Canis lupus familiaris: one gene and its partner. The protein of the gene in region 1 interacts with the protein of each later gene in a pairwise test. Links are inferred from orthologs where the notes say so. Each region holds a gene or a part of one and is shown on either strand. Other genes may lie near its edges. The genes, in order: ALDOA and ENO3.

Region 1 (4,316 bases):
GGACTGCAGCCGCTTGGCGATGCTCCCTGGAAGGGGGAATCATACAGAAATAATGGGATCAGCCCATCACCCTCAACCCTAGCGCCTCCTCCTACTGTGTCCTGCCCATACCAGTGGACTCATCTGCAGCCAGGATGCCCTTGCCCGGAGCCACAATGCGGTGAGCGATGTCAGAAAGCTCCTTCTTCTGCTCCGGGGTCAGCGCTGGGTATTGGTAGGGCATGTTGCCGGTCAGTTCCTACGCAAAGGATACAGAAAGGGGGAGAACTGGTTAGCTGGGTCTCACCATGGTCTCCCAACAAGCAGGGCCCCTTGCCTGGTGGTCCGGACAAAGGTTCCTTACCTCCCCTGCTCCATACTGGTATGTCTTGGGGCACATTCTGTCCCCAGCCCTCCCCTACTCCCAACTTCCTTATACTAGGCCTGCCTCCTGTACCTTTCCTAACTCTGTTTGTTGCTGGGTGTTTCCCAGCTGAGGGTGGGGTAGCGTACTGTCATCTGGGGAAACGCAATAGGCCAGAGCCATGGACAGACAGGTCATGTAGAAGATGGACCCTTCTGGCTTGCGCTCTGCCATGGGGTCACCTTGCCTAGAAGCAGAACTGAACCAGAGTAGTTTAGAATTTAGAGGTGGTAGGCAGGCAGAGGGCCCAACCCAAGGACTGAAATGAGGGAAAGTTCTGTGCTTTGAGTCCCACAGCAGAAGGGCCAGAGCTGAGATTAGAACCCAGATCTTCTGACCACCAGGGCCTTTCAACCCACCCAAGATCCCAGGGCTGGCCCAGGCTTGAAGGCCTCAAGGACATCCCAAGGTCAAGTTTCTCCCCCCAGGTTTGAGGGAGGGTGTTAGGAAAAGGGTGTTAGAAAAAGGGGCAGAAATGTAATCAGAAGCCCAGGAAAGGTAAGCAGAGGAAGCCCAGCCGGAGGTGGCGGAAAGGGGTAAGGTTTGCCGATCTCACTGCTCATACAGGGTTAAGAGAATTGTAGAGAGGCAAGAGCCCCACCCCTTCCCCTGAAAATGCTCTCGTCTTTTCGCACGGCTGCAGCTGCTCCAGGCTCCCAATCAAGGTCACCCGATAAGGAAAGACACGGAAAGTGTTAACGGGTCATCAGGCGCCTCCTAGGGGTTTCCCCCTCCTCGCCGGGGTCGCCCACCTCCCAGGGCAGAGACCAACCACGCTTTCGGAAACCCTAAAGCACTATAAGAACTGGCCCCCACCCCTCGCGGCCTCTTAGGATCCCCGCAGAGGCAAAGGGGTCATAACGCTTTGCACCTGGGGTCTCAGCAAGAAGAGGAGAGGAAGAACGGCCCTTCATCTCGTCCTGCTTCCTCCCCCGCCATGACTCAGCGCGCGGAGCCGCGGCACTGCGCCGCAAACCCGGGGAACCCAAGCCGGAGAGGGTTGCGGAGCCGGGACTGGAGCATGTGGGTGGTGGTGGGGCGTGGGAGATGCTGGGAATGGGGGGTGGGGGCGGGGAGGGCTTCCGATTGCCCTCCCCGACGGTCCCCCAGGATCCTTCTCCATGGTCCCTGACCTTCGCACGTGGCAAGGGGCGCTCACCTGGCACGGGAGGGGGCGGGCTTGCGGGGCGCGGCGGTGGAGGGCGGCGGGCGGGCGAGCGGGCTGAGGGAGCGAACGCGGCCGTCGTCACCAGGACCCCGGTTCTGCGGCGCGTTCCAGGAGGAACGCAGCCTATTCAGCTCCGAGGGGGCGGCGCAGGGGGCGGGGAGGAGGGAGGCGGCGCCGGGCCTTATAAAGGCGCCGCGCCAGCCTCCGCCGGGTTTTTTTCCCTTGAAGGGGGCCGGAGGCGCCCTGGCGTCCAATTGCAGGCGAGGAACAGTGCAGAGGCCGCCCCCGAACGGCGAAGCCCGGAGGCGGCGCTTGGGCGGGGACAGCGCGGCGAGAACACGATCCCTCCCCCGGCCCCCTAAGACGTGACTCGGGCCACATCCTGCGGGTCGCCGGGGCCCTCCCCTCCCTCTCCCTTCCCCCCCCCCAGTTGGCACGTTCTGGGGCGCCGTGACTCAGCCCATTTGGGGCACCGGAGGAGGTGGGGAGGGGGAAAGCGGGTGCGAGAGCCTCCCCCGCCCGGCGCGGCCCGGGGCAGCCCGGCTTCCGGCCCGCGGGACTCCCGCGAGTGACCCGCTGGGGCAGAACCCGGAGGCCGGGCGTCGGCCGACCTCGCCCGCGGGCTCCGCTAGCCGGTTCAGGGGCTCCGGGGCGTGGGGCCGCCCTCCCGGGGTCACCAGTCCAGGCGGAAGAGCGGCCGCACGGGGAGGAGCGCGAGAGGGCGGCGGGGCGGGCGGAGGCCGGAGGGCGGAGGGCGGAGGCCGGGCGGCAGCGGTTCCGGGCAGCCGGCCCGCGCGGGTGTGGGCGCCGCAGCCGCGCCCGTCGGGCTCGGGGCCCCGGGGCCGGCCCCGCACCGCTGCGCACGCGCTCTCCGCCCGGGGCCAGCGCGGACCGGCCTGCAGCGGCGCCCGCTCGCCCCGGCGAGTCTGGGAGTGCGGCGCCAGAGTCCTCGCGGAAACGTCTCCCTGGGACCTGGCTTCCCCCTCCGAATCCAATCTGCCCCTAGGGGTCAGCCCCAGCAACACCGCGAGCCCCTCGTCCGAGGGGCCAGGCCTCCCTCCTACTCTGGGCCCCTTAGGCCCCACCCCACCCCACCCCACCCCTGCTGCGTCCCGCTGGCGCCCACCTGCGAGGAGGCTGAAGGAGAGGGCAGAGCCTGGTCAGCAGCGAGTGAGCCAGGCTGCTCCCGGGCTGGGTTATAAGGCAGCTCCTGCCCTCCCCCCAGCCAATGTCCCCAACCTCCTCCGGTGACCCCTGCCCTTTCCTTGCCACGGATCCCCTGGCAGGGACCTATATTTAGGGAAACCTGAAGCCCCTGACATTCATGCCAGCATGGGGCCTAAAGTGAGGGAAGGGGGAGAAAACCGTGGGCCTGCCCTACTTGGGGGGCATGGGGAGCCCTGTCCACTCACCGTACTTCAGAAGAATTTCCTTGGAAATCCAGCCCTCAGAAGTTGGCAAAAGAAATCAATCTTTGCACAGGGATCTGTGGGGAGGGAAGAAGAGGAAAGGAGATTCAGATCTGTGGGCCTCCCTGTCTTCTCAGACCTCCCTCCCCTCTAGGCCCTGTGATTCTGGAGAGACCATTCTTTTGGTGGGAGAGCAGATACAGATGCTACACTCACCTCAAAACAACCAAGAGTCCATGGATAAGGTGTGGCTGGGGTACCCTATATCCTGAAACTCAGGGCTGAAGTTTGTCCCATAAGGTGGTCAGTGGTGAGCAGTGTCTCCCACCCTCATGTTCAATTATAATAGTTTATGTGGGGAGGGGAGAGGCAGGCAGAGGCTCGTGTCAGAGCACTAGCCCCTCTCTCTCCTGGCCCTCCAAAGGGGCTTCGGTCCAACTGGCCAAGGGCTCCCTGAGTCCTGCTCTGCAGGGAGCCAGGCTCTCCACTGCTGGTTCCCAGGGGGAGGAGCTGAGCAGGCCATCTGTGGTTCCAGTGGCCTGGAGAAAAGTGCCTGGAGGCTCATCAGGGATGGGGGCTTGGTGGCCCCGGGGGCTGGCCACTCTCCAAGGGGCAAGAAGTCTGGATCTTCATCGGAGCTTGATCTCGAAGCAGAGACAGTTGAGGCTCTGGCAGTCAGGAAGTTGGCACGCACAAGCACAGTCACAGAGTGGGCAGCAGCGAGGGCAGCGAGGGCCCCAGCCCTGAGGGAAAGGAGAAGGGGGTGAAGGAGGTGGGCCAGAGTCCTAGTCCCCGAAGCTGTTTCCCTCTCAAGGGAGAAGGCAACAGAGAGGCCTGGAAAGCCCCATTTGCCCAGTGGAACAAAGGGTACCATCTACCAGTCCTGGGAACAAATCAATTCCCTGTGCTGTTGAGAACTCAGCAAGGAAGCAGTGTTCCAAACAGCTGAGTGCAGGAGCTGGAAGAAATTATCCAAGGGGTTCTTCCCTTCCCATTTTATTTTATTTATTTATTTATTTTTTATTTCTTTATTCGTTCAGAGAGAGAGAAGAGAGAAGCAGAGACACAGGCAGAGGGTGAAGCAGGCTCCATGCAGGAAGCCCGATGTGGGACTCGATCCTGGGTCTCCAGGATCACACCCCCGGCTGCAGGTGGCGCTAAACCGCTGCACCACCAGGGCTGCCCTCCCTTCCCATTTTATAGGCAAGGGGACTAAAAGATCAAGTAGCCCTGTTCCATTAGGTCCCAATGTTCAGTTCAAAGATGATTCTACTATATCCTTGTGGCCCCATTCAGTTCCAAGTCAGGAGACAAGGGGGAGTGCACACACATTTTC
Region 2 (4,337 bases), on another chromosome or scaffold:
TGACCGAAGAGTCCAAGGGTCTCCATGAACAAGGCCCGGGTTGGGCAAGGACCGAAGAGGACACTAAAGACGTGCCCAGCCCCCGGCACAAAGCAGTGCCCAACCTGACTCAGGAGCTGGGGCCCAGGCAGGACCAGCAACTCGGTGATGCCTGAGTCTGGCCCTGGAATGTGATGGGCCGGGCTTATGTCAAGGGGAGCTCGGATTGTGGGAAGGAGGGAGGGGCCAGAACTGCAGGAGAGGTTCCATCTCAAGAAACCCTGTTTTTGGAGCTGGGTCTGAAGTGTAGACCTTCCTGGGGTTGCTCCACTGGCTCCCAGGAGGGGCACTCACAGGGACGGGCAGGACTAAGTCAGGGTTCCCGGCGAGGTCCGCGATGTGCCGGTAGAGTGGGACCCCTTTCTCTGCCGCTCCAGCCTTGCACACAGCCAGGGACACACCCAAGATGGCATTTGCCCCGAACTTGGCTAGGGGACACAAGCACAGAGAAAGGGTGAGGGCTTCTCCCCCAGGGCCTGGGGTCACCCCACAGAGGACCCGGAACACCACTGCCCTGAGCATGAGGGGGGCGCTGACGGGTCTCTCCCCAGCAGCCAGAGGGGCTCTGGGAGCCCCCAGCCCGGGGAAGGTGCCAGCTTCGCATCTGTGGCCACAGCCAGGCCTGGACAGCAGGCACCAGGAAATGCCTGTGCAATGAATAAAAAACCCAGCCAGCCACCGTGTGCCCCAAAGCGCGGGCCAGGGAAATAATCCCGGGGTCACTCCCACCCCTGCCACGGCCCATCCCTTCCCCCCCGCCCCAGCCCCAACTCACACTTATTCTCTGTCCCATCCAGCTCAATCATGAATTTGTCAACTTTCTCTTGATCCACCACGCTGAGTTTCTGGAAAGAGAGGTTGGAGGGGGAGGGAAGAGCAGAGGTCACGTTGCTCAGGACTCAGGGCATGTGCCAGAGGAGGCACAGGTGCCTGGTGGGGGGACGGGATGGCTGGGCAGCAGGGCTGCAGGGCAGGGAGGCAGGCTCCCTCTTGCCTTTTCCAGCAGAGCAGGGCCTAGGGTCTTGTTGATGTGTTCCACAGCCTTGAGGACACCTAGAGGGGCGGGGGGCGGGGGGTTGGCGGTCAGAAATCGGAGTCCATCAGGCATCTTCCCGGGGCCCCTGCTCCTTGAGGGCTCTGGCTGGGAACACAGATCCCGACGCCACCCATGTGCATAGGCTCCTCCGGCGGTGGTCCTCCCTCACCTTTCCCTAGGTAGCGGGACTTGTCTCCATCTCTCAGTTCCAGGGCTTCGTAGATACCAGTGGAGGCTCCGCTGGGCACAGCTGCTCGAAATCGGCCTGGGCGGGTAGAACAGGAACGTCACCCAGGGCCCCCGGTAGCCCCACAGGCCGAGGTGGGCTCTCTGCGCCCAGGGGCAGGGGGTCTCCTTGTCCTGGCCCAGGAGCCAGGCCTGAGGAGCAAGGCCTGGGGAGGACTCTGGCGAAGGGGACCCCAGAGAAAGGAGAGGGCATGGGGCCTGTGGGCTGGGGTTTCGCAGGGCAGAGCAATGCTGGGAGCCATGGTACCCTTGGCCGTGTGCAGGTCCACTTCTACCGTGGGGTTGCCCCTGGAGTCCAGGATCTCCCGGGCGAAGATTTTCTGCATGGCCATGGCTGCAGGAGGAGAGGTGTGACTGAGTGTGGATAGTTGATCCCTCAAGGAACCCGAAATCCCTTGCCCTTTAAGAGTCTTCCCCACCCCAAGAAGGCAGGTGCTGGAGCTAAAAATATCCCACAAAAAGGTCACAGCCCAAAGAGGCAGGCGCAGCCCCCTCCCCCACTCACAGCAGCTCCAGTTCCACCTCCATCCTCAGGGTCCGCAGCCTCTCCCCTAACTGGTCCCCACAGGTCTCCCTGGACCCCCATCACCCACAGAGTGCACTTAGGCCTCCTCCCTTCCAGTGGAGCACTCGGCTCTCCGTAGCTTGCCAGCCCCAGACCCTCTTCTCTCTTCTGGTTGTCATCTTCCTCCAAATCCACGGGGACCCCAAATCCCCCACCTGGCCCCAACTCCCTCCCCTCCTCCACCCACCTCTGCCTATGGCTCCTCATGGTCTTACAGTCTCCTTCCCTGTCCTGGGTACCCCCATGCTGCTCGCTCCCACCCTTCCAAGTCTCTCAAGCACCCTGGTCCTGGAAGGTAGAAAAAGCTGACACCTCTCCCAACTTTGTCCAAACCAGCACCCACCCTCACCCTTCACCACCCCATCCTCTGGGACTGGAGAACTCAGCAGACCTGGGATGTCTCCGCTGGGGGGAGTCGAGGTGAGCTCTGAGCCTAGGTGGCAGCTGGGACAGTGTCAGCTCACCCCCTCAGGCCGGGCATTTATCTCCTAGCCACCCGACGCCCTGGCCAGCCCCGCCTCTCCCTCTCCATCCTCCCCCTCCACACTGGGCTGGCAGCCAAGTGCCCACTGCAGCCTAAAGCGGGAGCCTTTGGCCCCGACACCTGCCCCCTTCCCAAAGGTCAATGACGACCCCTCCTTCCTCTCTGCTCCCCAATAAAAGCCCCCACATTCAATTCCAGCTCTGGGGAGGGGCCTGGGAGGGCCTTCGGATTGGGGGTCTCTCCCCTGGCCAGGATTATACGCCCCCTTTGCAAAGGTTAAAGAGGAACTTGTGCCCTTTAGCAAAGGCCAGCGGTAACCCGAGCCGGGCAGGGCTGGGGAGGGGGCCTGGAAGAGGGGCTGCAGGATTGATGTCCATACATGCTTGGCTCCCTGGGCAGGCGCCCCCAGGAGGAGGAGGGCGGGGGAGGGGGGCGGTGTGTGTGTCTGGGCAAGCGCTGAGGTCCACCTCGAATTCCCCATGCAGGGAGGCGAGAGGGTCTCACCTCTCAGGGTCCTCATGATGGCCTCTCGGGCCGCCCGCTCTCCCCAGCGCCCCGGGCCAGCAGGGGGTGGGGGAGGGGGCGGGGAGCCCGATTTAGACGGGCGCTCAGCCTCGGCGCGGCGCCCTGCCCGGGGCGCTGGGACAGCACTTGTCGCCCCGCTCATGGAGCGGCGGTCGGGAGCCCCTCTCCCAGCCGAGCCGGGGATTTGGCGACCCCGGCCCTACCCGTGGACGGTGCTCCTAGACCAGGGCTCAGAATGAATGGCGGGGCGGGACGGGACCGGACCGGAGGGGGTGGCCCCTGCGGTCTGAGCGTCGGGTCTGGGGGCGGCGCGGGGTGCGCCCCGGCCCGGGGAGCGTGGGCACCTCGGGGCTCCGGCCCTGACCCTCCACGCCCGCCGGCTCCGGCCGCGCCCTCCCGGACTTTTCCACCCCGGGGTCGGGGGTGCGGCGGGCAGAGGTCAGCAGCCAGCGGGCGGGGAGCGCCGCCACGTGCCCGAGCGCGCCCCGCCCGAGCGGCCGGGTGACTCAGCGGCGCGGCTGTCGAGGAACGGGCTCGGGGGGCGTGGGGGCCCGGAAGCGGCCCAGACCCTCGGCAGCCCCACCTGGGCGGCCGCGGGGCCCTGCCCTTCCCTCCCTTGCCCGCGGGGCGCCCGGCGAGAGCCGCGCGCAAAGCTTCCCAGCACAAGTTTCCCCGAAAAGAAGAAGAAAGAGCCCGAGGGGCCCGAGCGGGAGGGGACTTTCCCCCTCTTGGAAAAGTTGCAAATCTGGCCACCTCCCCGTGTCCTTCCGCCCCGAGAAGTAGTCCCGCCCCTGCCTCCCGCGCCCAGTGACCTCGGCCGCGCCGGGCCAAGGGGCACGGCCGGTGACCCAAAGTGCTGGCAGCGGGGGGCGGGGACGTGGGGCTTGGGCCTGCCTGGGGGGGGGGCTGCTCCTGCACGTGTCTGTCGGGCAGATACTGGAGACACTCGTGCCCCCCCTTCCCGGTGGACGCCTTGGACTCTTGAGGGCGGCCGGGCCCATCTGTCCTCGCGACCCGGGGCTCCCGCAAGTCGTGACTGAATAAAATAGAGAGCGAGCCGCGTGCCCGCCCCTTCCGCCCCGCGGGAGACACGTCCCCGGCCCGCCCGCCTCTGGGGGGTGGGGTGCCGCCGCGCGCACCCCGCTCCCGCGCCGCGGGCCGCCGGCCCCAACCGCCCCGCGCCCTCCCGCCCTCCTGCCCGGCCCGGCGCAGGCGCGGACGCACGCGCCGCCGCCGCCGCTCCTGCCCTCCGGCAGGGGTGGGGGAGGGGCAGCCGTTCCATTTAACCCTGAGCGCCCCGCACCCCCCGCCGGCCCCGCGCGCGGCTCGCCCGTCCGCCGGCTTTCGCATCCTTTCCTCCCTCGGGCTCGCTCCCTTCCCCGGCACCACAGTCCCGTTTGTATTCAAGGCGAAGCGGAGCGGGCCCTGACCCGAACTTCCCC

Evidence for each region.
Region 2: the proteins of ALDOA (region 1) and ENO3 interact in a two-hybrid assay, tested with the Homo sapiens proteins (2 studies listed by BioGRID and IntAct, with this or other methods). The link is inferred for Canis lupus familiaris from reciprocal best matches to the Homo sapiens genes ALDOA and ENO3.

The regions. Positions count from the first base shown.
Region 1 is NC_049227.1:18,241,876-18,246,191, reverse strand, and holds the start of ALDOA (fructose-bisphosphate aldolase A), read right to left. Parts: upstream 3,008-4,316; 5' UTR 2,984-3,007; exon of another isoform or gene 2,983-2,983; intron 2,855-2,982; exon of another isoform or gene 2,698-2,854; intron 1,714-2,697; exon of another isoform or gene 1,563-1,713; intron 239-1,562; 5' UTR 224-238; coding exon 112-223; intron 27-111; coding exon 1-26. UniProt on the Homo sapiens protein: Catalyzes the reversible conversion of beta-D-fructose 1,6-bisphosphate (FBP) into two triose phosphate and plays a key role in glycolysis and gluconeogenesis. In addition, may also function as scaffolding protein.
Region 2 is NC_049226.1:31,870,824-31,875,160, forward strand, and holds the start of ENO3 (beta-enolase), read right to left. Parts: upstream 2,943-4,337; 5' UTR 2,891-2,942; coding exon 2,875-2,890; intron 2,426-2,874; exon of another isoform or gene 2,278-2,425; intron 2,175-2,277; exon of another isoform or gene 2,074-2,174; intron 1,656-2,073; coding exon 1,569-1,655; intron 1,341-1,568; coding exon 1,245-1,340; intron 1,093-1,244; coding exon 1,034-1,092; intron 885-1,033; coding exon 815-884; intron 468-814; coding exon 334-467; intron 1-333. UniProt on the Homo sapiens protein: Glycolytic enzyme that catalyzes the conversion of 2-phosphoglycerate to phosphoenolpyruvate. Appears to have a function in striated muscle development and regeneration.